Linked DNA regions of Pelodiscus sinensis. The protein of the gene in region 2 binds, or shares a complex with, the protein of the main gene of each other region. Links are inferred from orthologs where the notes say so. Each region holds a gene or a part of one and is shown on either strand. Other genes may lie near its edges.

The links.
Region 1: INTS2 (region 2) and INTS12 share a complex: the UniProt entries of both Homo sapiens proteins name them as parts of the integrator complex. The link is inferred for Pelodiscus sinensis from reciprocal best matches to the Homo sapiens genes INTS2 and INTS12.
Region 3: the proteins of INTS2 (region 2) and INTS6 are in contact, whole or in part, in a cryo-EM structure (PDB 8RBZ), measured with the Homo sapiens proteins. The link is inferred for Pelodiscus sinensis from reciprocal best matches to the Homo sapiens genes INTS2 and INTS6. Residues at the interface, in NP_065799.2 of Homo sapiens: Ile855, Asp856, Pro857, Leu858, His895, Arg923, Glu925, Leu926, Lys927, Ala929, Leu930, Ala932, Ala933, Gln934, Ser936, Ala937, Gln940, Ile941, Glu944, Asn1010, Lys1013, Leu1014, Phe1017, Gln1018, Gly1019, Tyr1020, Pro1021, Ile1046, Ala1047, Gln1048; in NP_036273.1 of Homo sapiens: Ile484, Val486, Arg487, Ser488, Arg489, Phe527, Gln528, Val529, Ala530, Leu531, Leu532, Asn533, Phe541, Arg542, Asn543, Ala544, Tyr545, Ile547, Arg549, Leu552, Leu553, Leu556, Met559, Arg560, Asn562, Leu563, Leu564, Lys565.
Region 4: INTS2 (region 2) and INTS4 share a complex: the UniProt entries of both Homo sapiens proteins name them as parts of the integrator complex. The link is inferred for Pelodiscus sinensis from reciprocal best matches to the Homo sapiens genes INTS2 and INTS4.

The regions. Positions count from the first base shown.
Region 1 is NC_134715.1:26,900,086-26,907,438, forward strand, and holds the start of INTS12 (integrator complex subunit 12), read right to left. Parts: upstream 3,015-7,353; 5' UTR 2,882-3,014; intron 1-2,881. UniProt on the Homo sapiens protein: Component of the integrator complex, a multiprotein complex that terminates RNA polymerase II (Pol II) transcription in the promoter-proximal region of genes.
Region 2 is NC_134731.1:6,069,755-6,077,494, reverse strand, and holds the start of INTS2 (integrator complex subunit 2), read right to left. Parts: upstream 3,002-7,740; 5' UTR 2,903-3,001; coding exon 2,860-2,902; exon of another isoform or gene 2,799-2,859; intron 2,193-2,798; exon of another isoform or gene 1,871-2,192; intron 1,407-1,870; coding exon 1,100-1,406; intron 4-1,099; coding exon 1-3. UniProt on the Homo sapiens protein: Component of the integrator complex, a multiprotein complex that terminates RNA polymerase II (Pol II) transcription in the promoter-proximal region of genes.
Region 3 is NC_134711.1:291,278,776-291,285,814, reverse strand, and holds the start of INTS6 (integrator complex subunit 6), read left to right. Parts: upstream 1-4,029; 5' UTR 4,030-4,471; coding exon 4,472-4,582; intron 4,583-4,759; coding exon 4,760-4,837; intron 4,838-4,943; exon of another isoform or gene 4,944-4,979; coding exon of another isoform or gene 4,980-5,069; intron 5,070-5,553; coding exon 5,554-5,703; intron 5,704-7,039. UniProt on the Homo sapiens protein: Component of the integrator complex, a multiprotein complex that terminates RNA polymerase II (Pol II) transcription in the promoter-proximal region of genes.
Region 4 is NC_134711.1:316,726,110-316,733,723, reverse strand, and holds the start of INTS4 (integrator complex subunit 4), read right to left. Parts: upstream 3,013-7,614; 5' UTR 2,634-3,012; coding exon 2,580-2,633; intron 1,909-2,579; coding exon 1,711-1,908; intron 1-1,710. UniProt on the Homo sapiens protein: Component of the integrator complex, a multiprotein complex that terminates RNA polymerase II (Pol II) transcription in the promoter-proximal region of genes.

The DNA.
Region 1 (7,353 bases), on a different chromosome or scaffold from region 2:
CTGCTACCTCTCTATCACAGAAGGCAGCGTGGAGTGCCAGATGGGAGCTGGTCTGCAAGGGGTGTGGAGAAATCCCTGTAATATTATCATTCTCATATAACTTTGTATTAAGATCTTGTCCTTTTAGATATATCTGTAAGTGTTCGTACAGAATCTTTGTAACACTTCTCCTATAACTTTGTATTAAGAGAAACTTTCCTTGTAAGAAAAAAAAATGTCTTTTGAGCTCTCCCCTTTCCTTGATTGTCCTGTTGAAATGAATGAGGTGTGAAGGGAGAATTAAAGGTGAGCACCTCCAGCAGCAGTTGCAAGGGTGGAGAAGGTCTGGGAGCCAGATCCAAGACAATACCTGTAAAGTGAGCTCATTAAGAAGACTGGACAGACAGCTACCTTGGGAGTCAAGCAGCATTGCCCGCCCTTGGAAGAACTCTCTTTGAAGCAGCATTAAGAAAGGCAAGATGATGACTAATTGGCTGCATGAGAGGGATAAATAGGAGGCATCTTGGAGAGGACCCTGGGTTTTCATCTTGTCAACATGGGAGCATCGATCTACAGAAGGCCAGCTCCACCCCTCCTCCATCTAACTCACCTGGCCAGTGCAGTTAGGGGGAGCAACTTTTGGTAACAACAAAATGGAATGTGCTTGTGTGAGAGTGCATGAGTTTAATGTATCATATGCATATGATAAATATTGATTGATCTATGTATGTTCAAGAAATGTGGCGTGTTGCCGTATCCCCCTGAAAAAGATTCTGGGTGCTTCTTTTAAGCACAACAGGGGAGCCAGTTTAAAAAACAGCTACCCCCGATAGACCAGCTGCCTATTGCCTTATGCTACTACCTCTGAGACAGAGGCAGCAAAGGGAGGTGGTGGAAATACTAATAGTCAACTAGATTAACCATTAAGACCAGGTTTATCGACTAGTTGGCTACTAGTTCACATCCCTAGTGCAAAGCACATGTTTGTATTAGATTTCCTTTAAGAAGGGAGCAGTGATCTCAAGTCTATTCATTCCTTGTTTTGAGGATTATTTAAATACTGTAGACAAAATCAAAATATAAATGTCAAAAAGTGATCATAATCTTAAACCACAGATTGTTATATATGAGGAGTAAATTTTACTCAAGTTAGAGGTATTCATTTCCTAGCCAAATGTTTGTTGGTCTAACCCTTCAATCCACTGTGTCTGGATTAGATGTGTGATAGAAATGTAGCCGTGTTAGTCTGGGGTAGTTGAAGCAAAATGCAGGAAAATGTAGCACTTTAAAGACTAACAAGATGGTTTATTAGATGATGAGCTTTCGTGGGCCAGACCCACTTCCTCAGATCAAATAGTGGAAGAAAGTAGTCACAACCATATATACCAAAGGATACAATTAAAAAAAATGAACAAATATGAAAAGGACAAATCACATTGCAGAACAGGAGGGGGATGCGGGGGGGGGGGGGGAGGAAGGAAGGTAAGTGTCTGTGAATTGATGATATTAGAGGTAGGGAGAGTGGGATGTTTGTGAGTTAATGGTATTAGAGGTGATAATTGGGGAAACTATCTTGGTAATGGGTGAGATAGTTCAAATGTTTGTTAAGTCCTTGTTGGAAAGTGTCGAATTTTAACATGAATGACAGTTCAGAGGATTCCCTTTCAAGTGCAGATGTAAAAGGTCTTTGTAGCAGAATGCAGGTGGTTAAGTCATTGAGAGAGTGTCCTTTTTGGTTAAAATGGCAAGAAACTGTTTTCTCTTTGTGATCACTCACAAACATCCCACTCTCCCTACCTCTAATATCATCAATTCACAGACACTTACCTTCCTTCCTCCCCCCCCCCCCCCTGCATCCCCTTCCTGTTCTGCAATGTGATTTGTCCTTTTCATATTTGTTCATTTTTTTAAATTGTATCCTTTGGTATATATGGTTGTGACTACTTTCTTCCACTATTTGATCTGAGGAAGTGGGTCTGGCCCACGAAAGCTCATCATCTAATAAACCATCTTGTTAGTCTTTAAAGTGCTACATTGTCCTGCATTTTGGATTAGATGTGAGCTCCTGAAGGGAGCAACTGTGCTGCTTTCTCTCTGTAGAAAACACTTATCACATGGTGATATGCTACCACACATCAAAAACAACAGACCCACAGCACAACTAATGAGAACCTTCCATTATGAGTTACAATAAGGACTTAAACTCCACACTGTCTGCAAAATACAAGTGTACACATCTGCCTGGCAGAATAGAGGAATTATTGGCTGGAAGAGGGAGGAAGGGAACCGCACTGAAGACTGAAGCAAAATAAAGTGACCATTCACAAGGAGTGGTTACCGGGGGTCAGGGAAAGTGTCACATCACAAGGAGATATTAGAATCATGGAATCCTAGGGCTGGGAGAGACCTCAGGAGGGCATCAAGTCCAGCCCCAGGTCCAAAGCAGGACCAACCTCAACTAAATCAACCCAGCCAGGGATCTGTCCAGCTAGGACTTAAAAGCCTCTGGGGATGGAGATTCCACCACCTCCCTAGGGAACCCATTCCAGTGCTTCACCACCCTCCTAGGGAAATAGTTTTTCCAAATATCCACCCTCGGCCTCCCCCACTGTAACTAGTAAGATCAGTGGTTTCCTAGGAGACTGACAGCACAGCAAGCAGAGGAGAGGGAGATGCTCGCCCAGTGATCAGACCCCCGCGTTGCAACAGCGCGACACTGCGCTCCCCAGCGGGGCCCGGGCAAGCAGCGCGCCCAGCCCCCGCGGCCGGCGCCGGCCTCGCGTGGCCCCGCTGAGGCCGGGCAGGGTGGGGAGCCCGGGGGGCTCACGGGCGGGGGGGACGCGGCTGCAGCCCCGGCCCTGTCCGCGCAGCCCTAGGCCCAGCCCGCCCGCGCGCTCCTTACCCCTCGCCGTTGGCCCGGGCGCCCGGCGGGTGACGCTGCGGCGCAGAGCCCGGCCGAGCCGCAGGAAGCCCCGGAGGCGCCGCGGCGGCAGCGTGCGGAGGAAGAGGCGGAGCCGGGGAGGAAGCGGCGGAGCTGAGGCGGGGGTAAGCGGCGTGGGGGGCCTGTAGGGCCGCGGAGCCGGGCCCGGGGATGCCGGGGCCTGGAGCGGGGCGAAGCCTCCCCGAGACTCGGGGACGGGCGGGCGCTGGGGATGCGCGGTGGCTGGGCACAGGGCCCCCGCGATGAGGCAGCTGCTGGGGAAGCGGGGTGAACTCGGGGCACCCCAGGAACTGGCAGCTGCGGAGGCCGCGAGGTGATCTCCGGGGCACAGAGACCGCAGCGTGGGGCAGGTGCTGAGGTTATGAGGTGCAAGCTTAGGTCAGAGGGGCTGAAGCGTGGGGCAGGTGCTGAGGATGTGGGGTGTACCCCTTGGGCACAGGGGCAGCAGGGCAGGTGCGTTGGATGTGGGGTAAAGACCTTTGTGAGGGACAGTTCCTGAGCTCTCTGTTATTGGGGGGGGGGGAGTCACTCACCTCAGGCCCCTGAGGCATTCCCCCCTCAATTTCTCATTTACTTTCCCATGGGTTTTGCTAGTGTAGGTGTGGGGAGCTATCCTCCACTTTGTGGGAGAATGACGGGCACCCTCTGTATTACACAGCTAATACCACAGCCCCCCACTCTGCAAAGCAGAGACCTTTGTCCATGCTGTGAATGTAACAGCCCCCATCAAGGTATTTCAGCAGAGTTTTAATCCCTGATCTTAAGCACTGCAACACAGATCACCATTATGGGAGATAATGGAGACTCTCCACTACTGGGTAGTCAGTTACCTTCTATTAAACAAGGGGAGGATATATAGAAGATAGGGACACGCTCCTTGCCATAATAGTTAAGTGATCCAGACATGTTCGTAAATAGCATTCAGTGCAGACTTATTAGCAGTGAACAAAGAGGGAAATCACAATTGGTTTATGAACCAAATAAAAGGGTGTCATTTAGATGACAATTGTTTGCAATTACATTTGGAAAAAAGGAAGATCTTTGGGAACATAGGCATCTGCCGTAATGGATCAGACCAGTGGCTTTCTAGTTCAGTTTGCTGTCTCTTAGAGTGGCCAGGGCCCTATGCATTGGAGCAAAAGGCAATAAATCCAAAACAGAATAAATATCCTGCCTATGGGTGTTCTCCAAACCACCATGAGATACTGGTTGTGCCATGATGCATCTATTTCTTATGAACTTTCTAATGTAACTGGATGTTTTCATCCTTATAAAAATTCAGTTATTTTTTTTAAATCCCTGCTAAGATCTTGGTATCAATAGTATCTAGTAGCAAAGAATCTGACTAGTTATACCTTGGGTACTTTTAAAATTGCTGGTTTTCAGATTATTTCAAAAGCTTCAGAGGGGTAGCCAACTTAGTCTGTTTATTTCATTGTTCGCTTGTTTTCTTTTTATCAATAGGATTAGGATGGATTCTCAATGCACCTTTTTTATACCTTTAATCTGTATACCTCTATCTGGTTTCCTTTCTAAAATAAACAGCCCCAATACTTTTAGTCTCGCTTCATGTAAAAAATATTTTCCATTTAGTTGGTCGTTCCTGTGAGTTTTTTCTGAATGAGGGTTCACTGAAAATTTTACATGGAAACTTTTTGATAGCAAGCTGACATAAATGGAATATAAACTAGATATCCTGCATCTGATGCCTTAATACCACAGCTATTATTTTTGCTGTGCTACATATTTATTGGAATAACCATTACATTTATCAGTAACGTGCAGTAACACATGCTACATGAAAAGAAACATTGTCAAATGTCCAGAGTTGTATTTTTCTATAATACAACAAACAAAACCTTTTACAGCAGTAGTCTCCAACCTTTTAAAGCAGTGGTCCCCAACACGGTGCCCGCGGGCGCCATGATGCCTGCGGGGGCATTTGTGTGCGTCTGCCAAATGCTCGGGGCTGGCCTGGCCCTGGGCACGTGGCGCATGCATGGTGCCGGAGCCGGCCCTGAGCGCATGGTGAGCGCCGGCCCTGGGAGCGCTGTGGATTGGCCGCCCGTGCTCTGGGCGCGCAGTGCTGGGGGGGGCGCCAGCCCTGGGCGCACGGCGCTTGGGGGGGGCGCGTGGCGCTTGGGGTGAACGACCATGCCCCCTGGCGCCTGGCAACCTCAAATGGTTGGGGACCACTGTTTTAAAGTATGAGATCACTTTTTGAATTTAAGTGCAATCCTAAATACCTTTGCCCCGCCTCCTTCGTGGCCCTGCCCCTGCTCACCTCACCCTTCCTTCCTCCCCCATCCTTTCGCCTTTTCATCAGGCAGGGGCAGCTGGTCTTGGGCTAAGGGATTTGGAGTGAGAAGGGCTCTGATCCTGGGGCAGGGGTTGGGGTACAGGAAGGGGTTCAGGGTAAGGGTCTGTAAGGGAATTTGGGTCTGGGGATGCTCAGGGCTAGGGCAGGGACTTGGGGTACAGTACAGGGTAAAATACTGGAACAGGGATTCAGAATGCAGGTTCCAGCTGGACACTGCTTACCACAGGTGGCTCCTGGATAATGGTGCAGTGGGGCTAAGGCAGGCTCACCCCTGCACCGTCCCTGCACCACTCTCCAAAGCAGCCAGCAAACTTCCTCCATCCCAAACCTTGTTGTGCCCCCACCCCTGTTCTGTGAAGATAGAATACAGCAGTGGTCCCCAACATTTTGGGGCTGCTGCGTGTCCGGGGGCGGGGCCGCTCACGTTCCATGCACAAGGGGCAGGGCTGTGTATGTGCCGCGCACCAGGGGCCAGCACCAGCATGTGCCACTCACCCGGGGTAGGAGCTGCCCATGCACCAGGCGCCTGGGGCCGGCACCACACATGTGCCATGTGTCTGTGGCAGAGGCTACCCATGCGCCAGGAGCCAGCCCTGGCATGTGCCGTGCGCCCGGAGGCAGGGCCGGCTCAGATTGTTCCGTGGGCACCGCATTGGGGACCACTGGAATACAGGGTGGGTGAGGGGAACAGCTCCAAGGCAAAGGGCAGGAGATGCACAGCAGTGGTGGGAGGGGCAGCTGAAGTGCTGCACTTGATAGCCTCTTGGTCAAACCAGTCAAGATCACCTGTCAGAGGCTCCAAGATCTGATCTTCTAGTTGGTGACACTGTTTTACAGAAACTAAGCACAATAGAAATGTTTTCATTTTTTGTTTGTATTTTTCTGGAAGCATTTGTTTTTAAACAAATAAGTTCTCTGTAGTGTAATCCAAATGTGTAGCATACTGAAACAGACATAATTGATATTGAGCCCATGTTGGAGAAATTTTAAGAAGTAAACAGCACAATTAGTTTAAATGAATTGGATTTTTAACATTCTTTTAGTTCTAACCAGCTAAGCTACCCTTAGTTCCATATTGTAAACAAACACATTTATTTACCTATCTGCTCTTTAAGATGTGCAGTAGAGCTGATGCTGTTAATTGTATTGCAGCAGAGGCACTAGCTACAGACCCTAAGTGAGGCTAAGTTGGCCCCTCTGCTGCCAGTGGCTGTGGGCCCACTCTGGCAGCAGCAGAGGGGCTGGCATTGACCAAGGAATGACGGGGGGCAGGGCACAAGTGCGAAGAGGCAAGGTGGCTGCAGAGCTCTGTGGCTAGGGGCCAGGAGTGCAGCCCTCCGGGAGCACATCAAATTCTGTGGCTAGCAGTCTGGAGGTCAGACTGGTGTCTGTGGGGGTTCTCCCTCCCATTGGGCTGTATTCCTGGACCTGGCTGTAGAGCTCCAGAGCTACCCTGCCTCTTCCCCCGTGTACCTCCTCTCTCCTGCCTCTTCTCCTTGTCCTTCCCTCCCTAAGCTTAAATGCTGCAAATGAGAGGGAGAAGAGCTGCTGAGCTCATGACCCCCAGCTTTTCCCCATAAGTGTTACAATCTGAGAACACCAACAGGGATGCCTGACCACAAATGTTGTTGGATGAGGGAAATCTAGATTATAGAGGTCCAATCTATAGAATAGAGTAAGTGGCAATCTCTGTCCCAAAGATTTTCTCTCTCTGGGTGGGTATGTCTAGACTACATGCCTCTGTCAGCAGAGGCATATAGAATAGGCTACCCGACATAGTCAGTGAAGTAGGGATTTTAATATCGTCGGCACAGCGTGGCAGTCAAGATATGGATCAGTTGACGGGAAGCCTTTGTCAACTGCTCCTGTAAACCTCGTTTCATGAGGCATAAGGGAATGGTTGACAAAGGTTTCCCCTGTCGACCGATCCGCATCTTGACTGCTGCGCTGTGCTGACAATCAGCTAATCCGGCACAGTGCGGCGGCCATTTTCATTTTTATAAAGCTGGGGATATTTAACTCCCCGCTTCATTGACTGTGTCGGGTAGCTTATTTTACATGCCTCTGCCGACAGGCATGTAGTCTAGACATAACAGCTGCGTCTAGATTGGCA
Region 2 (7,740 bases):
TGTCTAACAAATACATTACAAGGCAAAAACAGATGTTTAAAGAAAAATAAGGCACAGAAATTAGTAGCATTTCTTGTTAGTCTGTTCTTATACCATGCTCGTCACCGTAGTATCTGAGCACTTTAAATATTAAAGCAAGAACAGCAATCTACACTTGTTTTGCTGGTTCTACGAAACTTTCTTGATAACTTTACTAGTGGCCGCAGAAAACTATCATGATTTTGATATTTTCAAATAGCAAAAAAAAAAAAAAAAAAAAAAAAAAAAAAAAAAAAAACACATGACAAAAGCTTATGCACACTCAAATAGGTGTCTCTATCCCATTATTATCAAACATTTATATTGGTGTCCCCTTTCACACAGCAAGTGTCTGAGTGGGACAGCCTTTATAAATTAAAAAGGTTTCTTTTTATATTTAGCACTATTATAACTGCTGGAGGTTGAAGCTGTGTTTGGGGTAGAGACTGAGAGCTTGTGACCCCCTCATTTAATAACCTCCTATACAATGTTCCCTCTAGTTTTTTCCCCTCCAAGCACAGAATAAATGTTATGTGCATGGAGGCATGTGTTGATGTATGCCACCAGTAGAAACACAAGCTGCTGGCTGTGGGCAGCATTTGAATCTCTCTTTGGTGGCCGCCCAAGCACTCAGCTTACAGGGAACACTGCTCCTGATCCCTCCATGTCATGACTCCCAGTTTGAGAATCCCTGCTCCATTCCCATACAATACACAGACCACAGCCAAAGACTAGTGCATCCTTATAGTTCCAAGGGTTAATCCTTCTGGTAAAATGTGACTAGATAGCACTTCCTTTGAAGAGCATCAGTGCCCCCTTGCATAGCTATGGTGGTGGAGGAAGGGCACTGAGTCACTGAAAAAAAGCAATAAATTCCATATCCTTCCCTGCATGCTGTCCTATCAAGCCCAAGATACAAGAAACACGCATGGGATGTGAAACAATAATGTAGCAAAATGCCAAGTAACCAGGCCAACAGGATTCACTACTGTTATTACATTCTGGAAGAAGATGGCAACATTCAGATGAAATATTCATACATACACATTTCTAAATCATATTAAAAATGGGTTTTAGCTACCTAAGCTGTTGCTCTTTGTTTGCATCCTGCTCCAAGGCATGAAAATCCACAGACAACAAGGCAACAATTGAGTTGACAGCTTCCACTCCTGAAAGGAGTCGAAGGATAAGTTTTTTATCCTGAGCCCAGCTTTGGCTCTGATCAGCTGGGGCACAAAGGGCCATTCGCACCAGGCAAGGCAACAAAAGCCTTAACTCTGGGTCACTTAGTGCTGCCAAGCGCACAACATCCACCTTCTGCATTGCTTCAAATGCGTAGGGGCTGACAAACTGAAGGCCAGAACACTCTGCCATTTTTACCACCTGTCCTAAAGACAAAATAAAAACACAATTATCATCAGAAGAGACAGATTGCATCACAGCTTTTGACAGCTCTAAGCTGGTAAATGTGGTCTAGCAATTAAAACACAAGACTAGGAGTCAGGATTACCAGTTCTGCTCCTATCTGAGACATCTGGGTCATGCCTCCCATTAAAGAGGGAGACTGCATCAGGACTCCTACTTTCTATTTGCAGCTCTGGGAGGGGAGGAAGGTCTAGTAACCAGGACTTCCAGGTGCTATTTTCAACTGTCACTAAGTGCTCATAAGAAGTTAAGGTTGTGAGCATCTCCAAGATGCTTTGAGATACTGGGACACCAGGTGTCCAGAAAGGGACACATCTCCAACACAGCCAAGAAACCCTTGGGATCCAAAGCAATGATTTATTATAACTGCATTCATGTCCGCCACTTCTATTACAGCTCCCACCAACGGCCTACTCCGCCTCCTCACCTCAGAGCCAAAAAGAGCAAAGGATGGTGGTGCCAGGGTTGTGAAAGGGGAAGGTACACGAGACAAGAACAGGGCCAGGACCGTGTTGCAGGGGTTGATCTGCTCGTGGCCCTGCACTGAAAGCAGAACCCAGGCACCCAGTTTTGAACCGTCCTCCTTCCAGACTGAAACAGGACCCAGGCAGTAGGTCCTGGGGCCAGGCGGGGAGAGAGAGAGAAAAGCTCTGACAGCCTCAGTTCCCCCAGGACCCCAGCATCTGGCACCATGGAGGGCTCTAACAACCCCTCCCCCACTCAGGACCCGGGGTGCAGCCCCTCGAGGGGGGCTCTAACAACCCCTCCCCCACTCAGGACCCGGGGTGCAGCCACTCGAGGGGGGCTCTAACAACCCCCCCCACTCAGGACCCGGGGTGCAGCCCCTCGAGGGGGGCTCTAACAACCCCCCCCCACTCAGGACCCGGGGTGCAGCCCCTCGAGGGGGGCTCTAACGACCCCCCCCACTCAGGACCCGGGGTGCAGCCCCTCGAGGGGGGCTCTAACGACCCCCCCCACTCAGGACCCGGGGTGCAGCCCCTCGAGGGGGGCTCTAACGACCCCCCCCCCCACTCAGGACCCGGGGTGCAGCCCCTCGAGGGGGGCTCTAACGACCCCCCCCACTCAGGACCCGGGGTGCAGCCCCTCGAGGGGGGCTCTAACAACCCCCCCACTCAGGACCCGGGGTGCAGCCCCTCGAGGGGGGGCTCTAACGACCCCCCCCACTCAGGACCCGGGGTGCAGCCCCTCGAGGGGGGGCTCTAACAACCCCCCCCACTCAGGACCCGGGGTGCAGCCCCTCGAGGGGGGGCTCTAACGACCCCCCCCCACTCAGGACCCAGGGATCCGAGGCTTCCAGGGAGAGTCGGGGCAGAGGATCCAGGACTCTCACTAACCTGGGACCCGTCCCTCCCCCCGAGACCGGCAGCGGCTCCGCCCCGCCCACGCCGCCGCTACCTTGCGGCCGGGGCAGCAGGCACCCGTCCCCTATTGATGACATCACACCCGTCAGCCCCCTGATGACGCCGTCAAAGGCTTCTAGGAACGTTCGGGCGTGGGAGGAGCAATGGGCGGGACAACCGACAGGCCAACCGGACGTGACGTCAGGAACGGCCGTCGCTCGGGTGGAGCTGCTTGCGCGGGGGAGGGAAGCCGTGGTTGACGTCAGCAGAAGGCGTTGGCGGCCTTCCGCCTCAGAGGGGGGGGGGCGAAAAGGAGAATAGCGTCTGACGTTCGGAATAGCGTCAACGGCGGCGCGGTGACGTTTCGGGACGAGCCAGGCGTGAGCCGGCCTCAGGCGGCCCCTGGGGCCGAGAGTGACGTGCCGCGGAGCCAGGGACCCGGCCGCTGTGGGCCTCCCCGCCCCTCCCCCGCCCGCTGGAACCTTGTGCCGCCCCCTCCCCCCAAGCTACGGATCATATTCAGCGGGGGGGGAGGGGGCGCTTCGTCTTGTAACGGTCAGAAAGCGCGAGTGGGCCGCTGGCCCCTTCAGGCCTGTCTACGCGAACCCCTCCCCCCCCATTCGAACTAGCAGCGCCGGGAGTAACGACTTCAACTGCGGCTGAGAGCCCACAGGACGCGTCTTCTCAGAGCGCTTCTTTCGAAAGAGCGCGCCCAGCCAGGCAAGAGCCGCTCTCGCGGGAGCGCGCCTGGGCCAGCTGGATGCTCGTTCCAAAAAGCCCTGGTTGCATTCAAGGCCTTTTCAACACCAAAAAAAAAAAAGGCTTCGTTCTTCCTAAAATGAGGTTTGCTGCTGCCGAAAAACAATCCCACTGCATCTGTTATTTAGTGTCGGGAGAAGGCCACGGCAGGCTAAACAACAGCGACTTTTTTTTTTTAAATAGCCTTAAAGTCGGTCCGGTTACAGCCAAAAGCAGCAGGAGTAGAGATTGAGAGAATAGGGTTGGTAAGACGGAGACACCGCTTATTTCCAAATAACTCCCGAATGTAGCCAGGGGCTTGGAAACTAACCAAAATACATGTGGAGAGAAGCATGAGCTTTCATTTATATATGTGTATACACACAGTATCGATACAGTTTTGGTTGTAAGGTAGCACAGGACTACTCGTTTAAAAAAAAATACAGACTAACATGCAAATCCCTGAGACTTTATAACTTTTTTTTTTTTTTTTTTTAAATATAGAGAGAGAAGCATGGATAAAATCCAGCTAGTAACTAAGATGTAGCAGAAAAAAACACCACCTGTAAATTGTAGGACTGGTGCTAATTAGGCTAATCAAGTGGGTTGGAAGTGTCCAATTCTAAGCTTATGATGTAAAAACCCAGTCGTTAAAAGCTTTGGGAGACTAGTGTTAGAAGTGCACAATGACAGCTCAGGTACGGGTGCAGGAAGGTTATAAGTATCCTAAAAGCTTACCATAGATCATTCACTTTATACAGCTTGGCTATGTCTAGACTGGAATGATTTTCCACAAATGCTTTTAACTGAAAAGTTTTCCATTAAAAGCATTTGCGGAAAAGAGTGTCTAGACTGGCATGGACGCTTTTCCGCAAAAGCATTTTTTGCGGAAAAGTGTCCATGCCAATCTAGACGCGGTTTTGCACAAGAAAGCCCCGATCACCATTTTCATCATCGGGGCTTTTTTGCACAAAACAGTTTTTAGCTGTCTACACTGGCCCTCTTGTGCAAAAACATTTCCGGAAAAGGGTTTTTGCCCGAATGGGAACGTTGAAGCATTTGCGGAAGCAGCACTGATTTCGGACAGTAGAACATCAGTGCTTTTGCGCAAAATCAAGCGGCCAGTGTAGACAGTTTAGACGCAGCCCTTTAGAGGGGTAGCCCTCTTAATCTGCATCCACAAACACAACAAGGAAGCCTGTGAAGACCAATATTTCTTTAGGCATAAAGATGGGTCTTTGCCCAAGAAAGCTTGTTGGAGTGCAGCTAATGAAATGGGGTTTTGCCCACAAAAGCTTGTGCCCAAAGAAATCTGTTAATCTTTGGATATCACAGCATTCCTTGGTTTTGTTAATACAGTTTTCAATCTTTACTATGCAAAAAAGCTACATTTTTCTAACTTTTACTTTAAACGAAAAGCATAGAAACAGCTTCCTTATCAAGTTTTAAAAAATTATTTCCCAGTAGTTTTCTAGTAATTTATATTTAACCAGCGGGGGGGGGGGGGGGGGGGGGGGGGGAGGAAGAGGCGGGGAGAGGGGAGTATCTGCTGCTACCTGATTGCATATCTCTGGTTCCAAACAAGGGGTGTGGTTGATGGGTTAGTTTGTAATTCTGAAGGTCCTAACCCTGAGGTTTTTGTGTATTTTGTGTCTATGCTACATTGCAAAAATGCTTTTATTTTAGTCATCTTCAATAAGCTACAACTCCTTCCTGTTGTAGAGAGAGCAGTGTTCCCTATAAGCTAGATACACATGTGGCAACTCAGGAGAGATTGAAATGCCACTCAGCTCATTAGAGTACAGTTTGGCTGCATCTAGACTGGCAAGTTTTTCTGCAAAAACGGTGGCTTTTGTGCAAAAACTTGCCAGCTGTCTACGCTGGCCGCTTGATTTTGCACAAAAGCACTGAAGTTCTATGGTCCGAAATCAGTGCTTCTTGCGCAAATGCTTCGACGTTCCCATTCGGGCAAAAGCCCTTTTCCGGAAATGTTTTTGCACAAGAGGGCCAGTGTAGACAGCTAAAAACTGTTTTGTGCAAAAAAGCCCTGATGACGAAAATGGCGATCGGGGCTTTCTTGTGCAAAACCGTGTCTAGATTTTGTGGAAAAGTGTCCGTGCCAATCTAGACGCTCTTTTCCGCAAATGCTTTTAACGGAAAAACTTTTCCGTTAAAAGCATTTGCGGAAAATCACACAGTCTAGACGTAGCCCATGTGTTTCTAGTAGCAATTCACAGATACATCTTGGTGCACATAAAAAATGTATTCTATATATTAATGGGAAAAATCCTGTACATGAGTGGAAAAGGTTGGAGGGAACACTGAGAGAGGATCGTACAGTTGAGTGTTGGAAATAAAGAGAGACGCCACAATCAAGGCTTCATGAATAATTTATTCCATTTGAATTTTTTTTTTTAAAAGTATAAACTTTTTTCATTTCCTCAATCACAATTTGTACAACTCAGTGTTTATGGCATTCGGCAGCAATAGTGTTTGTTCCTTATTTGATTTTATGTCATATTAAATAAGACGACTTGGACCATTAAACGTCACTGCTGAGCAAAACCTTAAAAACTTCCCTTAAAGTGACCCAGCTATTTTGAGAAGATTTATGAAATTGACATGTCCAGTAATGATGCCACAATTTGCAATTTAAATCCAATAGCTTTTCAAGGTCCTCAAATCCAGTTTATTTGGAAAACCTAAAGCTATATTAAAACTTCCTGAAAAAGTGACCCTGAGGATTATTGTAGGTCCCAAATCCAGTTTTACTGTAAATGAAGTTTCACTCAATTGAAAATAAAGTACACCCACATATAAGATTTTCTAAATATCAGACATAGATCTATATCTTTCAATTAAGATGAAAGTAATTAATTTTTCACTTTAGAATTTCTGTCAAGATAGTTTGTCATATAATTTAACTTTGAGAAACTGAGTTCTTAGAGGAAACCCAGGCCAAAATATTGTTTCATGTACAATTACATGGATAATATTAACAGACTGATATGCTATGCCATAGACTGTTGTGCAGCAAATTAAATGGTGCAATAGCATTTAAAACTTTTTCATCTATTAAATTTGAATGTTTTTAAATAATGCAACATAATATTGATAGTACAGTATTAACAAATAGTGCTTGATTAAAGACATCTGCAAATCTTTGTAGCAACACATGAAGTTAAGTCACCATGGAAGATAAATAAAGATTAAAAGAATATAGTAATAATCTGTGCCATATTGACAGCTGAGTAAGAATATAGCTGAAGATTTTAATGATAACTTTAATTTTAGCCATTTCAGAAAATGTTAGAAAGTTTTAAAATGTACAAGCTACTTTAAAAGGCAAGGATTTTATGCAAGTACACTTGGCGGCCTACTGGCCAAACAATATGTACATGAATCTAATTCATACCGTGTTAAGTCCAGATGACAACGGCTTGCATAAAGAAAGTATGGCTAGATTTTTTTTTTGACTGGCATGTATATAATTATAATTTGAAATCCCAAAATACTTAATAGGTGAACTTCCACAAAATGCTACTAAACTGAGAGCTGCACAGACCAACACTAGGAACAAGCATTTTGAGATGTTGCCACCCAAACTGTCAATGATCTGTATAAACTCTGTTATTAAGCTTGCACCTTCTGTTCAAATCTGCTGTTAACTGGCTGTGACAATATAACTGTTAGAAAGTAGTCAAGTGGAAGGGTTAATCATTAAAGGAATTTGATTCATAAGATGGAAGTTACTTATTTAGAAGTAAGCTAAATATGGTAATTAGCTCCTTGGTGCTGGCAGTTTTGATATGTACATTGCTGGCAATGGATGCCACCAAGAAGACAGTCTCTCAGGACAAATGATTCTAAAAAAAGTTTCAAAAAGGGGCCTTCTGATTTTTTTTTACTGGTTATTTTCTCTGTTTATATTACTGACTACATTTGAAAAGCTTCTTCTACCCACAGTTTTTCTATACAGGTGGGGAATGTCAGAGCACATTCATTTAATTATACATTAAGAACTGGACCTCAGCAGTCAGGCAGCTGGCTCACTTATGAACACAAGTCACTTTCAGATTTTAAACAGATCACTTCCAACAAGTTCCAAGCTAAACAGGTGTGTTAACATTAAGACCGATTTTGAAATCAGCCATCTGGCAACACTGAGCTAAAAAAAATTGGATGCAAGCTCTGTAAA
Region 3 (7,039 bases), on a different chromosome or scaffold from region 2:
GGAAGAAAGTAATTCCAGTTTCTGCAATAGCGACAAAATTTTATCTTTTATGGTGAAAATGTTCACATATCTTCCTTGCAGCGACAGATTAACTTCATTCATCTTGGTGAATGTATCTGCAAAGTACAGCAGCTAGGAGTAATTTGTCAGACAATCAGACAGTCAGCGTTTGTGTTCTACAAAGTAAACTAATACTTTGTGATGAAACTCAGAAAGTCTAACAAGCACTTTCCCTTGTGATAGCCACTTCACTTCTGTATGTTGAAGGAAAACTATGTGCTGCCCGCTTCTCTGCACAGAATTCAGAATAATTTGGATTGTAGTGGTCGAGTTTGTATATAATAATTTGCACTGTCTTTTCCAGAACATTTTAAAGAGGTACAAACATATTCTAATGGCAAGAACTTGTCGGTGAAGGACATAGTGACTGCTGGTGCTTAATTCGCGATACAACTCTGGCTGTGTCCCCAACTATTGCCCTGGTGCTGCCACTACACACATCAACACACTTTTCCCAACTAATTTCATTTCTTGTAATAAAGTTAATACAATAAAATATTTCTTCACCAGCCATATTTTTCTGCAAGGATTCACATATTTGCAAGTCCTTTACAGTGGTTTTATCAAACATATAGGCTGTGTCTAGATTGGCCAGTTTTTCCGCAAAATCAGCTGCTTTTGCGGAAAAACTTTCCAGCTGTCTACACTGGCCGCTTGAATTTCCGCAAGAACACTGACTATCTCATGTAAGATTGTCAGTGTTCTTGCGGAAATACTATGCTGCTCCCGTTTGGGCAAATCATTTGCGCAAGAGGGCCAGTGTAGACAGCACAGTACTGTTTTGCGCAAAAAAGCCCCTATAGCTAAAATGGCCATCGGGGCTCTATTGTGCAAAAGCGCATCTAGATTGGCACGGACGCTTTTCCGCAAAAAGTTCGTTTGCGGAAAAGCGTTCGTGCCAATCTAGACGCTCTTTTCCTAAAATGCTTTTAACGGAAAAACGTTTCCGGAAAATCATGCCAGTCTAGACGTAGCCCTGAAGTTTTAAACTGTTTTATTTTTGAGTGCAGAGTTTTTTGTACATCCTATTTTATTAGTTAGGAAGGGTAATTAATATGTGCAGACCAAGGTTCGGGTCTTAAAATTTTGTTTTGTATTATCCATTTGTTTCCATCACACTCTCGTTGCTAATAGAATCTCTATATTCTCTTAAATATACTTTTCTTTTAATGTAAGTGCTCACAAGTTCTGTGTGATTTTACAGCAATAGTGATTTAAGATAAAACTAGAAAACTGGGGTACATGGTTGCTTTGGAGCAGAGGATCTGAGCGGCTAATGTCAGAGGCCAGGTAACAGGGAAAATGATTCATAGGTATATTAATGGAGGAGGTGCTAGGTCTTGGATGGAGGCTGGCTGCAGAAAGGAGCTTGGAATAGGGGACTAAGGAGTAGGAGAGGGTGTGGGGTCTGAGAGGAAGACTAACTGTTAATAAGGTTGGGTGAAAGAGGGGATTATTACGCTGAGCAGGGGATTTTTGTGTAGAGTCCAGGAGTGCATATGGGAACAAGAAAGGATTCTGACCTGGAGGAGGGGGCTGGAGAGTCTAGGAGGAGATTGTGACCTGGGGCACAGTTGCAAAGGTTTGAGTTGTGTCCTAGATCAGGAGGGAGTTGTGACCTAAGGCAGGAAATTGGGATGCAGGTCTTGGAGGGGGCACTGGTGCAGGAGTGGTGGTACAGAGGGTTTTGGTTGTGACCTGGGACAGGTTGGAGGAGTGGGAGTAGGTGAAGTCAGGTGTAGGCTCTGGCCAGTAGATCCTTACCTTAGATAGCCAGCAGCCCAGCCGGACCCTGAGGCAGGCTTCATGCCTGCCACAGCCCGTACTGGCACAGACAAGAGGGCTACGTCTACACTGGCCCCTTTTCCGGAAGGGGCATGTAAATTTCATGAGTCGTAGTAGGGAAATGCGCGGGGGATTTAAATATCCCCCGCGGCATTTAAATAAAAATGTCCGCCGCTTTTTTCCGGCTTTTAAAAAAGCCGGAAAAGAGCGTCTACACTGGCCCCGATCCTCCGGAAAAAGTGCCCTTTTCCGGAGGCTCTTATTCCTACTTTGAAGTAGGAATAAGAGATCCTCCGGAATAGGGCTTTATTCCGGAGGATTGGGCCAGTCGAGACGCTTTTTTCCGGCTTTTCCCCAAGCCGGAAAAAAGCGGCGGACATCTTTATTTAAATCCCGCGGGGGATATTTAAATCCCCCGCGGATTTCCCTATTCTGAAGTTGAAAATTAGCATGCCCCTTTCGGAAAAGGGGCCCGTGTAGACGTAGCCATACTGCTTGCTACTGCCTGGTCAGTAGGAGCCGGATGCAGCCCATAGGGGACGGAGTCTGCCGGAGCTCACACATAGCAGCCAGCTTGCATAAGGCACCATGAAATATGAGGCAATTTGGTACCTCAAATGTCATGGTGCTCCATGTCTGTGGTTATGTGTCTTGCATATGGGTAGAGAAAGCCCAGGTCCAGACAAACTGTAAAACATAATCTGTGCCTAATTTATAATTAGGATGTTTCTGCTTGTGCAATATTCACACAATTGTTCATACATTAAAAACCTAACGAAACACATTGGTCTGTAAATAATCAATCTTCTGGTGTGCACAGTAGTGTAACTCACCATCAAGTGAAAGGGAGTGTCACAACTTTGTTTCTGTTGCCTCTGATCTTGTGGCCCTATTGCCTGGCTTGGCCACCTTGACGTCTTTAAACTAAAGAGAGGCAAAATCTTACTAGTTCTTGAAGTTCTTTGAGTGGGTCTTGAGTGATTTGTGAGGTGGAAGTCTTGTTTTTATTCGACAAGTTAGTGTCACATTTCAGATCCAAGTAGGGGAGCTGGAACTATTTTATAGTGGAGGTGCTGAAAGCAGAAACCATGCATTTGGTTACTATTACTTTAAGGGGGCGGGGGAAGAGTGCAGTACCCTCAGTTCCCCAGGATCCAACTAGAAGAAAAGTGCAGTACTTTTAAGGTCAAAACCACAGCACTCCAGGCATGCAAGGCTGTCTCAATGTGAGACCATCCGAACTCGTAGACTCCCCCGCTGAAGAGAAAGACAGTAGCGCCCCAGCCACTAAAATACGGGCCCCGCCGTCCTCACACAAGGCATCCGTCCTGATTATCCCCCTCCGCTTCTCTCCCAAAGACAAGCTGCAACGCCCCACGCCTAGCAATTGCCTCTCCCTCGCCGGAGAGGGGGGGAGGGGGAGTCGCCCCGCAAAGCCCCCGCCCTTGACCCACTCTCCTCCTGACGTGGAGCGCCACGCACCCCGCCTCCCGTGAGCCCCTGCAGACCCGGGCTGCGAGCGGGCGGGCGGGCAGGCGGCCTGGCCCCCACTGCAGCTCCCCCGAGGGCCCGCCGCCCGCTCCCTGTTCCGCCTCCCCCCTGTTCCCGCCCCTGCCGGGGACCGCCCGGAGCCCAGCGAGGCCGGCCCGCAGCCCCAGGGAGTCGCCGGGCGCCTGCGTTACGGAAGAGGAGCGGCGCGCAGGCAGCAGCAGGCGCCGCCCCGTGACTCACTCGCGGAGGGACCGAGCTGCTAGGCCAGCGCGCAGGAGACTCCTCGCCGGGGGAGCCCGCCCCCGCGTCCCCTCAGGCCCTGCCGCCTCCCGGGCCCGCTCCCCTCCCCCACCCCAGCGATAAGCGGCTCCCGCTACACCCCCGCCGCCCCGCTCGGGCCTCATCCCCGTAGCCGCTCCCGCGGCCGGGCCTCCGGCCCCCTCGCGGGCAGCTTCACAGGCCTGTCCGACGGCCGAATTACCTCACTAGCAACGCCCGCGCCCCTCCCCCACCCCGTCTCCCTCAGCGTTTTCCGATGGATCCCTTCCTCCCTTCCCAGAACGGGGCAGCTGGGGGCGACTATGTCATTGCAGCAGCACCCCCACCCGGTCGGAGCAGCAACGCGCATGCGCGCAGCTGGAACGCGTGCTCGTCAACCGCCTTCCCTTCAGTGGCTGGATCCGCCTCGTTCCCCTTTTCCCCGTGATTTAAATATGCTAATGAAGGGTCGTCGGGAGTCCAATGGCGGGGCAGGGAGGCCGTCACGTGGCCCGTGGACGTGCCTTTAGGGGGCGGCTCCCGACCTGCCCAGGCTGCCTTAAAAGCGGGCTGCGAGCGAGGAAGCGCCTCAGTCAGAGAGAGAAAGTGTCGGGGTGGGTGGGTCGCGGCTGCTCCGCCTGAAACTTCTGAGTAACATCAACAGGGGGGCCGGCGGCGGCAGCAGCAGCAGTGCAGCCCCCGTCCGCCTTTTCCTTATAAACCAGCCTGTGCAGGGTCCTCACACAAAGGCGAACGGGGCGCGGGGAGGCGTCTCTCCCCGTGCAGCGCACTCATAGCCCCCACTGCCCGCCCGCCCCCTCGTGTCTGACCCCCGCCCCTGTCCATGTAGCCGCCGGCCCCGCTGCTGCTTCGCACTATGCCCATCTTACTCTTCCTGATAGACACGTCCGCCTCCATGAACCAGCGCACCCATCTGGGCACCACCTATCTGGACATAGCCAAAGGCGCTGTAGAGACTTTTATGAAGGTACCGGCTCTGCCTGCGAGAGGCGGCGGCGAGAGAGGGGGTGGGTTGAGGTGGGGGGGGGGAGGTCGCCCTGCTGCCCGGGGTTGGGGGGTGCGGACCTGCGGAGGCCGGGCGGGGGCTCGCATGCGGGGCGCTGCTGCTGGCTCCCTCGGGTAACCCTGCGCTTTGTGCCCGCAGCTCCGCGCCCGGGACCCCGCCAGCAGAGGAGACAGGTACATGCTGGTCACTTTCGAGGAGCCTCCCCACGCGATCAAGGTAACCCCCGCGAATCGCCCTCCTCCCCCGGGCCGTCCGCCCGCCTCTCCCCTCCCCCGCGCTCCCGGCGGCGCGGCGCAGCGCAGCTCGCCCCGCACAGGCACACACAGGCTCTGGCAGCGGCGGCGGCGCTGACATCAACATGGCCGACATTTTTCCTGTGCGGTGTGCGAGCAGCAATGGACTGTGGGGGATATTGATTCAAGTTAGGAGAAGTGACAGCAACTCTAAGGCGAGTTCGGCGGCGAGGAGCGGTACCTGCTTAGGGCCGGGCAGCCTAGGCTGGGCGCTTCGCCCTTGTTGTGCGTGGAGACCCGGAGCCTCCACATGACACATCAGAAGGGAACCTGCTGTAGGTCATTGACCGGCCCCGGCCGCTGCCGTGGACCAGGCTCTGGTTATTTCAGTGATCCTCAATAAGTTATAACTTATAGGCTCACTCTTTGCACCTCAAACCGTGAAACCAAGCACCGATATTCTCCTGCGAGGGGGACGGCTGCGAGCTGGGGGGTGTGTGTGAGAGATGGTATATGAAGTCTTTAGAACAGAAGGGGTTCTTAGTTAAGGCTCTAAGATGAGTTGATAGTTTGTGGGGGTATTTTTTAACTTCATACATGAAAGAGAGGAAGAAACCATTTTTGTAATCTGTAACAGAAGGCTCTCCATGTATACTGCTATCATCTGAAAGATAAGCATTCTTGCCTTTCTCTTTGCAGGCTGGCTGGAAAGAAAACCATGCAACCTTTATGAATGAATTGAAAAACCTTCAAGCTGAGGGACTTACGACTCTTGGCCAGTCTCTAAGGACAGCTTTTGATTTATTAAACTTAAATAGATTAGTAACTGGCATAGACAACTATGGGCAGGTAGGTTGAATATGAATAGGTGTAAACACTTTTTTAAAAAACACTTTCAGAGACCACACATGATTAGTTGACCAAAATAATAGCCTCTGTGAAATATGAAGAGTAAAACATAACGGAAACTATTTTACAAATAAACAGTGCTGAGACAATTGGGAAACCCATAACTAGGATGTAGTTTTGCACCCAGTTTTAATTCATTTTTTATTTCATATCTGTTTAAAACTTCTTGAGTTTTTTAAAACACAAACACAAGCATTGATTTACATTTTTTTTCAGTTCACACGTGTACATTTTTGGTATATTATGTTCAAGATAATGAAACCTTATATTTCAGCACATTACCCAATCGCATGCAGTGGTCATAAATATATTTTCTCTTACGTGTAACATAGGTGGTACCCAATCAGTTGGGGGGACTTTGGGGGTTTAGCTTCTCGCTGAAGTACACTTATTGTTAGCCACTGTGGGGACCTAGCTATTAGGTTAACTGGAACAGAGGTTTAATCAAGTATTGGTTTATTAATTAATTAGACCACTGCTTCTGTCTTTGCATATTCCTGTATCATTCAATCTCTTTCCCTCATATTAAAGCCCTGAAAAGCTCTGGCTTCGCTGACAACTTGTACTGGAGCTGCCATCCTTCTGGCTCAGAAGGATTTGAACAGGACTTCTTTTGGAGCATGTCAACATTATATTTAATCAACAGTGTGGGTCACTGTAAAACAATAAGGCACTTACTTGCATTCTTCCTTGGGTTGAATATATATTTGGAAACACTCTCAGTTGCTCCTGGCCTGAAGAGTAAGAGACTTGGAATATGAATCCAGCTCGAGTTTTGCATAGTAGTGGAGAGCATTGCTAATGGGTACACATATTAAATGTATATTTTGCACTTACTTGCCCTATTAGCCTCACATTTCCCCTTTTTATTTTCTCCTGTGATGTAATGCCCTCTGAGAGGAAGAAAGGCTGCTGCTGTTTGTTTAAAAAATAAGTTGCTTCAACCAAATGCTCTGAGACTGAGCATATATCTGTGTTGCCATGTTCTGTTTGTGTAGGAGGAAAATTCTTATTTCCCATGTTTCACTATGTTGCACTGCCAAGTCACCCTAAACATGTTTTTAAATGCAATCTTGGTGACAAAATTTTGAAATATACTAATTTCACACGTAAAGCTAATCTTTTTAGTCTGTTTCCATGCATGGCCCTCTTATACACACACATGTATTCACCTGTTTTTCTGCTTTCCTTCGTTCCTGTTTGACTTAGGTCAGCCTTACAAAGTTTTCATGAAAACTTACCATCACAGATTCAAAAAAATCCAAACCCATAATCC
Region 4 (7,614 bases), on a different chromosome or scaffold from region 2:
ATTTACTCCCACCCACCTCCTCTTTGCCAGTACATTTTTTAGCAGGCTGACCAGAAGCCCAACTCAGTCCTTGCTCACGCCAGGTCCAGAACCTATCCCTGCTGTGGCTCTGCATTTAAAGTGTGTTAGGAGCCAGGCGGGCGGGCAGCCTGGCTCAGTTTCGACTTGTGCAGGGTTTGGGAGGTTAGCCCCACCCTCCCCCCCCGACAGCACAGAGTGGCAGGGGTTCCTCGGGAGTGGGGCTAGAGCGCACTGGCTGCCGGCCTCATCCCTGGGAACTATAGAACAGTCTATCAACCAATAAATATTTATGAGGTTAATCGACTTTTCAATGTTCCGATATTTAACAGCCCTAGTCTCGCTCATGCCGGGACCCAGCATCAACCCCTGCTGCAGCTCTGCCTTACGAGTGCTTGTAGTGCAGAACCAAAGCAGGAGTAGTTGCCAGACCCAGCTCAAGCTGGGACTGAGTGGTAACAGTGCTAACCCTTATTGAGTAATCATGTAGTCAACAAAATTATGTCGACTACACAATTAACGAATTACATGCTTAACATCCCTAAGTAGTAGAGTAGTTTTTGAACTAAGAGCTGTGGGCAAGTCAACAGATGCAGAGGAACACACAGTTTAGACAACCATATCACTTAAGGGAGGATTAAAGAGGATACTCCGTGGTTTCCAACCAGTTCTGAAACTAGCCACACTCAACAGGCCAAATAGCCATATGTGGCTAGCGTGTTGGGCACCCTAGCTCTATAGCCTAGTAAGGAGAAGAGAATAGAAGTTGATAAAAGTACAGATAGGAATTGAAGAGTAAGTCAAACAAAAAGGAGTCCCATTCAATTACATAACCTGAAGGCAGACAACTACATATTAACAGATTTTGTAACTGCTTGTATACAAACGCAAGAAGTTCAAATACTAAGATAGGTGAACTTGAGGTTGTCGCTGTAATAAGAAATAAGAATGGCCAGGTTTGGGAATCTCCCTAATATCCTCAGTTGTGAAGATTGAAGCAAAGAATTAATTTAGTTTCTCCGCAATGACCTTATCGTCTTTGAGTGCTCCTTTAGCATCTTGATCGTCCAATGGCCCCATTGGATGTTTAGCAGGCTTCCAGATTCTGATGTATTTTAACATTTTACTATTACTTTTTAGGCTTTGGCTTGCTGTTCTTCAAACTCTTTTTTGGCTTTTTTAAATTATATTTTTACACTTACTTTGACAGAGTGTATGCTCTTTTCTATGTTCCTCACTAGGATTTAACTTCCACTTTTTAAACAATGCCTTTTTATCTCTTGCTGCTTCTTTTACGTGGTTGTTAAGCCACGGTGCACTTTTTAACTTCACTTTTAATAAGCATCATAGAATCAATAATAAGCATGATGAGAATCAATGGGCCACTAGAATTGGGAGAGCTCTGAAGTTCATCACCCTTTTCTACATTTTAGACTCCAAGTGGTTACTTCAAAGCCCTATTTATACAGCTACTTTTAGGGCATTAGTAGGAGACTAACCCAACTCTGTCAATCAGGCTTGGGGAGGTTCACTCCAAAACCCAACATCACTTTAGAACCTTCACATTCTGTTACCAACACTTGAGCATCTCTCCAACAAGAGCCATGTCAGGAAATAGAACTATACAAAAGTCCCACTATTTCTTGCAGCTCTAAGTCCCATGAAAGTTGCTCCTGAGGCTATTTCCCCTACCTTGTAATAATGCTCTAGCAAGATTCTGACAACTCCTTCCACGCTTTCCGCCTCCACTGGTTTCCTGGCAAACTGAAGCAGGTATTGCAGAGCATCTGCCGGCGAAGTAGCCTTACACAGATCGACATGGAGTGCTGCCGACTTACTGGGCTTGGTCAGCCGCAGCTTCTTTGCAGAGATCTCCTCATGCTGCTGCTGCTGGGCAAAGCCACAGAGTGAGGCAAGACCTCAGAACAGAGGGAAGCAGGGGAGCCTGGGCTCCTAGCAACTAGCTCCAGCCTGTGCATGGTTTTACCAGCACAGCCACTACTGGGGGGGGGGGGGGGTAGGCATTCCCTCCATGCCCCTGGGCTCTCTGCCCTCTAACGCCCCCACCCACCCACTTCACAGGGGACCCCTTGGCTCTCTAGCCCCCCCCCCCCGACTTCACGGGGATCTCATGGCTCTCTAGCCCCCCCCCCCCCCCGGGGACCCTGCCCTCACTTGCAGGGAACCTCTTGGGCCCCTAGCCCCCCCAGGGGACCCCGCCCAAATTCACAGGGGACCCCTTGGGCCCCTAGCCCCCCCAGGGGACCCCGCCCCCACTTTGCAGGGGACCCCTTGGGCCCCTAGCCCCCCCCGGGGGGCCCCGCCCCCATTTCGCGGGGGACCCCGGGTTGGCTGGCAGCTTCGCGGCTCCCCGGCGCTCCAGAAGAGGAGCAGCCGCCTGCGGGTCCCGAGGCATTTCAGTGCCAGGCCTCAGGCTTCCAGCGGGTTTTCCTGAAACGTCAGGCCGCCCAGGAGTCGCCTTCCCGGGCAGGGGCCGAGCCCCTCTCCCGGGGACGGGGGTGAGGCTTCCCCAAGCCGCCCTCACGTGCTTCGCGGATTACCTGGACGACCTTAGTGAACTCCTCATACACCCGCTTCTTCAGGTGCGCCGCCATGCCGAGGCCCGCCACCGCCGCCGTTCGCCTTCAGCAGGGCGCGAGCCCTCGCAGCCACCGTACCTTCTTCCTTCTCCTCCCCTCCACCACCGCACCCGGAAATGAAACCATAGAGATGCTGGCGATGATGGGAAGATAAACTGTCCTTGCTAGACAGGCGGAGGTCTCCTCTCTATGGCCAGTGAGTCCCTGGCTAGGGAGAAAGAGGCCTGCGAGGCTGGAGCGCCCGTCGCTGGGCTTCTGTCAATCAAGGGGTGGTGCCCGCAGTGGGAGTGCTCAGCGCTAGGAAAGCCACCTTGCTGGTGGGAGGGTCCCTGATCCCTGTGCTGAAGCGCTGGGCTGGGAACCAGGAGTCACTCCCCAGCAAAGAGCCAGCGTGGCCAGCTGCATGTCCCACACGTGGCCAGCATGTGGTCAGCTGCATGTCCCACACGTGGCCAGCATGTGGTCAGCTGCATGTCCCACACGTGGCCAGCATGTGGTCAGCTGCATGTCCCACACGTGGCCAGGTGTGTTTCACACTCCTGGCCAACCGCAGAAGAGTGAGCCCTGGGAACAACAAAGTGAGCCCTGGGAACAGCAGGGCTGAATCAGCAGGGGCTGGAGGAGCAGTGACCCCCGCTCAGCGAAGGGAATCATACAAGCCGCCCTTCAATTTCTAGACTCTTCGGTGGATCTGTTTTAATAAGTGGCTTCCACGGGCCCCTGGCTGTGGTGCGGATCAGGATCCTATGCTAGGTTCTCAGCTGGGGCAAATCAGCACAGCTCAGGCTCAACATTTTTAATTTCCTGAAAGATTTTTTTTAATTCATTGCGTCTTCTTTTGCCCCACGCAAATCGATTTCTGTATCTACATGTTTAATGTACAGGATGTTGCATATCTGTCAGTAACAAATGTACTCCCGTGATAATCCGAATTGTTATTTCCTCCCAGGCACGTAGAGCGAGGTCATTTCCTCAGGCTGTTGCCTGAGAGGAATGACAACACAGAGTCATAGATTCCCGAAAGGCCCATTGTGAACATCTAGTCTGACCTCAAGCCCATATGCAAGGATTTTTGTGGAGGGATGCTTCTTATGTAAATGTGGACCACGATTTTTTTTTAATGTAAAGGAGTTCAGAATAGTTATGCAATGAGTGTGCACAAAAGAGGTTAATGATAAATTTGAGTGGAAACAGTGATTGGTAAAATGATTTTGTTATACTAAAAAATTATACAGCAATAAAGGCTTTACAGAAATTACCTTCTGGGATCATGGCGGGCAGTCTGGCCACCATGGCCCCCTGCTCCCTTGGCCACCACTGCCTGCTGCTGCTCTACCTGTTTGTTGAGGCCAGGGTTAGGTTGAGAGCAGGTGAGGCATCCGGCCAGCAGGGCCAGGCTCAGGCTGCTCCTTGCAGGTGGGGGGGGCGCTATTCCCCCAGCCCTATTGCACTACCACCAGCTTTGCCTACCCACCCCCCAACACAGCACTCTCCCATCCACTTAACACAGTGGTTCTCAAACTTTTTGGCCTGTGGACCACCTGGTTCAATGCAAACCTTTCCATGAATCATCAGTTGCTAATGGAAACTCACTGTTAATTACATAATTACACCCAAGCCATTTTGCTAGTGCTGCAGGACCAGGGTAGGGGGCGGGTGTCTGGCCAGGGGGAGGGTGCAGGAGCAAGGGAGGATGCAGGAGCAGGCTTGGGGGTAGGGTGTCTGGCCATGAGGGAGGGTGCAGGAGCAGGGGGTGGTGGTGGTGTGTGAGGGGGCTGGGCATGAAGGGGTGGGGGGGCACTTATTTGCCTTTCTGCCCCATACTAATCCCAGGCACTGCCTCCCGCTGCTCTCATTGGCTGGATTCTGTTGGAGCACCAGCTCCAGCTTCCCAGTGAGGGGGTGGGAGAGAGAAAGACCTGAGCCGCACTACGTGATCCAGCTTGTGGGAAAGGAGCACTTCTCTTCCCCTTTCCCTTCCCACAGCTGTGGGAACAGCAGCAAGCCTGCGCACTGCTGTTCCCCCAGCCAGGAGAGGGGAAGGGGGAGCCCTTTTTCCCTGCAAGTCAGATCATGTAGTGAGGCTCTGGGGTTTCTCCCCTCCCCACCAGTAGGAAGCTAATGCTAGTGCACCAACCGCATGGGGGGATGTGGGAGGGTGAGGCTACTGTGCCCGTGTGGGCTCCCCACTGCACTAGTAGGAGGGGAGCTGAGATCGAGCTGCAGACCACCAGGAAGGCGGCTGAGGAGCCCCCTCATGCTGACTTGGGTGGTCAGGGAGGTGCATTTGCACCTTCGCATCTCTCCCTGTGTGCATGCCTAGACCTCCTATACAACACAGAGTATAGGACTCCCCATAATTCCTGTTTGAACAAGAGCAGATTTTTTAGAATAACATTCTATTTTGATTTTAAATTGCCCATCCTGGAGGATCCACCACAACCTTTGACAAATTATTCCAATAGATTATGTTCACAGTTAAAAATGTATGACTTTCTTTGTCTGTGGGAAGAGTACCTCAGTTCAGTGATACAGACGGGAAATTCATTCCTGTTATTATTCTCAGTAACATGTTTTAATAAATACCTCTGTAATCCACAGACCTAGGGTGGTTCACTGTCCCACGTAGTGGCACTTAGACAAGGGAGCTCTACAGCCTAAGCTGAGAGCCAGCTGGCTTTATATTTCAAGCTGTAGAGGCTCCTACACTCAGGGGCTACGTCTACATTGGCCCCTATTATGGAATAGGCATGCAAATGTAGCACTTTGGAAAAGGCAAATCCGCAGGGGATTTAAATATCCCCCGCGGCATTTGCATTTTCATGGCCGCCGCTTTTTTCCGGCTTGGAGATAAGCCAGAGAAAAGCATCCAGATTGGCGCGATCCACCGGAATAAAGCCCTATTCCGGAGGATCTCTTATTCCTACTTGCAAGGGCTTTATTCCGGAGGATCGCGCCAGTCTGGACGCTTTTCTCCGGCTTATCTCCAAGCCGGAAAAAAGCGGCGGCCATGAAAATGCAAATGCCGCGGGGGATATTTAAATCCCCCGTGGATTTGCCTTTTCCAAAGTGCTACATTTGCATGCCTATTCCGTAATACGCAGTCAGTGTAGACACAGCCAGGCTGTGTCTACACTAGCGCAATGTTGCGCAAAAACTTGCTGCCTGTCTACACTGTCCGCGTGTTCTTGCTCAAGTAAACTGACGTTCTAACGTATGAAATCAGGGCTTCTTGTGCCAGAGTTCTGACGCTCCCCCTCAGGAATAAGCCCTTTTGCGCAACTGTTATTGCGCAAGAGGCCAGTGTAGACAGGCAACATGAATTTCTTGTGCAAGAAAGCCCTGTGGTTAAAATGGCCATCAGAGCTTTCTTGCGCAAGAGAGTGTCTACACTGGCATGGATGCTCTTGCGCAAAAGCACATGCTAGTGTAGATGCTCTCTTCTGGAAGAGTTTTTGCACAAGAACTCTTCCGCAAAAGAGTTCTTGCACAAGAAGCTGCCAGTGTAGACATAGCCTAAGTGATCCCAGGTTCAAATTTGCCTGATGGTGGTTACACCTCCACATGTGCTCTGAAAGTAGCCAGAAGGAGCCCTTAAAAATGTTAGCTTCTATATAAAAGACTGTTTTGCTTCATGCCAAGACTAGTTTCACTGATTTCTTTACAAGTATATAATATGCTTTTCAAATTCTAGGATACCAGTCTAGGAAACTTACTATTATACTGTGACAAGAGAATTTTTATCTTTAATTGTGTTTCATAAGTATTTGATATAGATTAGGTAAATAAAGGTGAAACATATTTGTTTGCTGTGTCCTGGTCTTGCCCATCTGTCAAGGTTCATGCAATACTTAGACATGCTTGATAAAATATTTATCTACCTGGTGTTTACCCCCTTTTTAATGGAAAGATTTGAAGTTATATAAGTTATATAATAGTGACCCAAATGTTTCAGAAAAATTCTATTGTGGTGTAACATGTGGCATGAAATACTTCATGGGGATGTGTTTGGTTTTGCTGAAGTTAGGAAGAGGTGGAAAAATCAAACAAGTTGGAAGCTGTCTTTAAAGTTAACTATAGCCTTTGTGAACTAAAATGTAATCAAGATTTCATGTCCCGTGTCTCCAAAAGAAATAGGGGTCAGAGACTAGTTCTGCATTTGGGTATGGATTCTGACCCAACAAAGTTTGGTGATGTTCAGAGCTGATTCAAGCACATCTCTCTTTTTGAAGACCTTAGATTCCTATGCTACACACAAATACAGACTATATCAGGCCAAAGTAATTCCTGTGTAAACCCACTGAAATCAGTACAGTTGCATCAGCATTATGAGATTTTGGCCTATCATATCTAGAAATAAAAACATTTTTCAGGGAAGAAAGTTAACTGGAGATGTTAGATATCACGTAATTGAACAGTCATGTAACCACATGAAATCTTAGTGGTTACACAACTATTTGATAGTCCCTGGAGAGGAGGCACGCAGCCAGTGCGCTACAACTCCACTCCCAGCAAATCCCGTCACCCCACATGCTGCCCCAGATACAGCTTTTAAAAGCCAAGCTCCCTGCGCAGACCGGCTCCCACCTGCCACCCCTGTCAGTGGAGGGTCGCAGCTCTCCACAGACAAAGATTGTTCCATGGCAGCAGCCCCTGTCCATGGGGGTCCAAGTTCCCTGCAGACAGAGGCTGCTCCACAACAGCAGCCCCTGTCCACAGAGCTTGGACCCTCCACAAACGGGCTGCCACTTTGGAGCAGCCTCTGGTCCGTGGCAGGCCCACAGACAGAGGCTACTCCGTGGCAGCCTCCCCTGTCCCCTGTTGCAGAGGCAGCAGCATAGGGGAGGGAGGGCAGGTGCCGCCACAGACCTGGTGCTGGGGGGAACTGTTTTTTAAGCGAGCTCTCCCCAGCACCGGCTCCTTGTTGGAGGCAGCAAGGAAAAGCGGGCAGGTCCACAGAGCTGGCATGCACAAAGAGCCACTTAAAAGCCAGCTC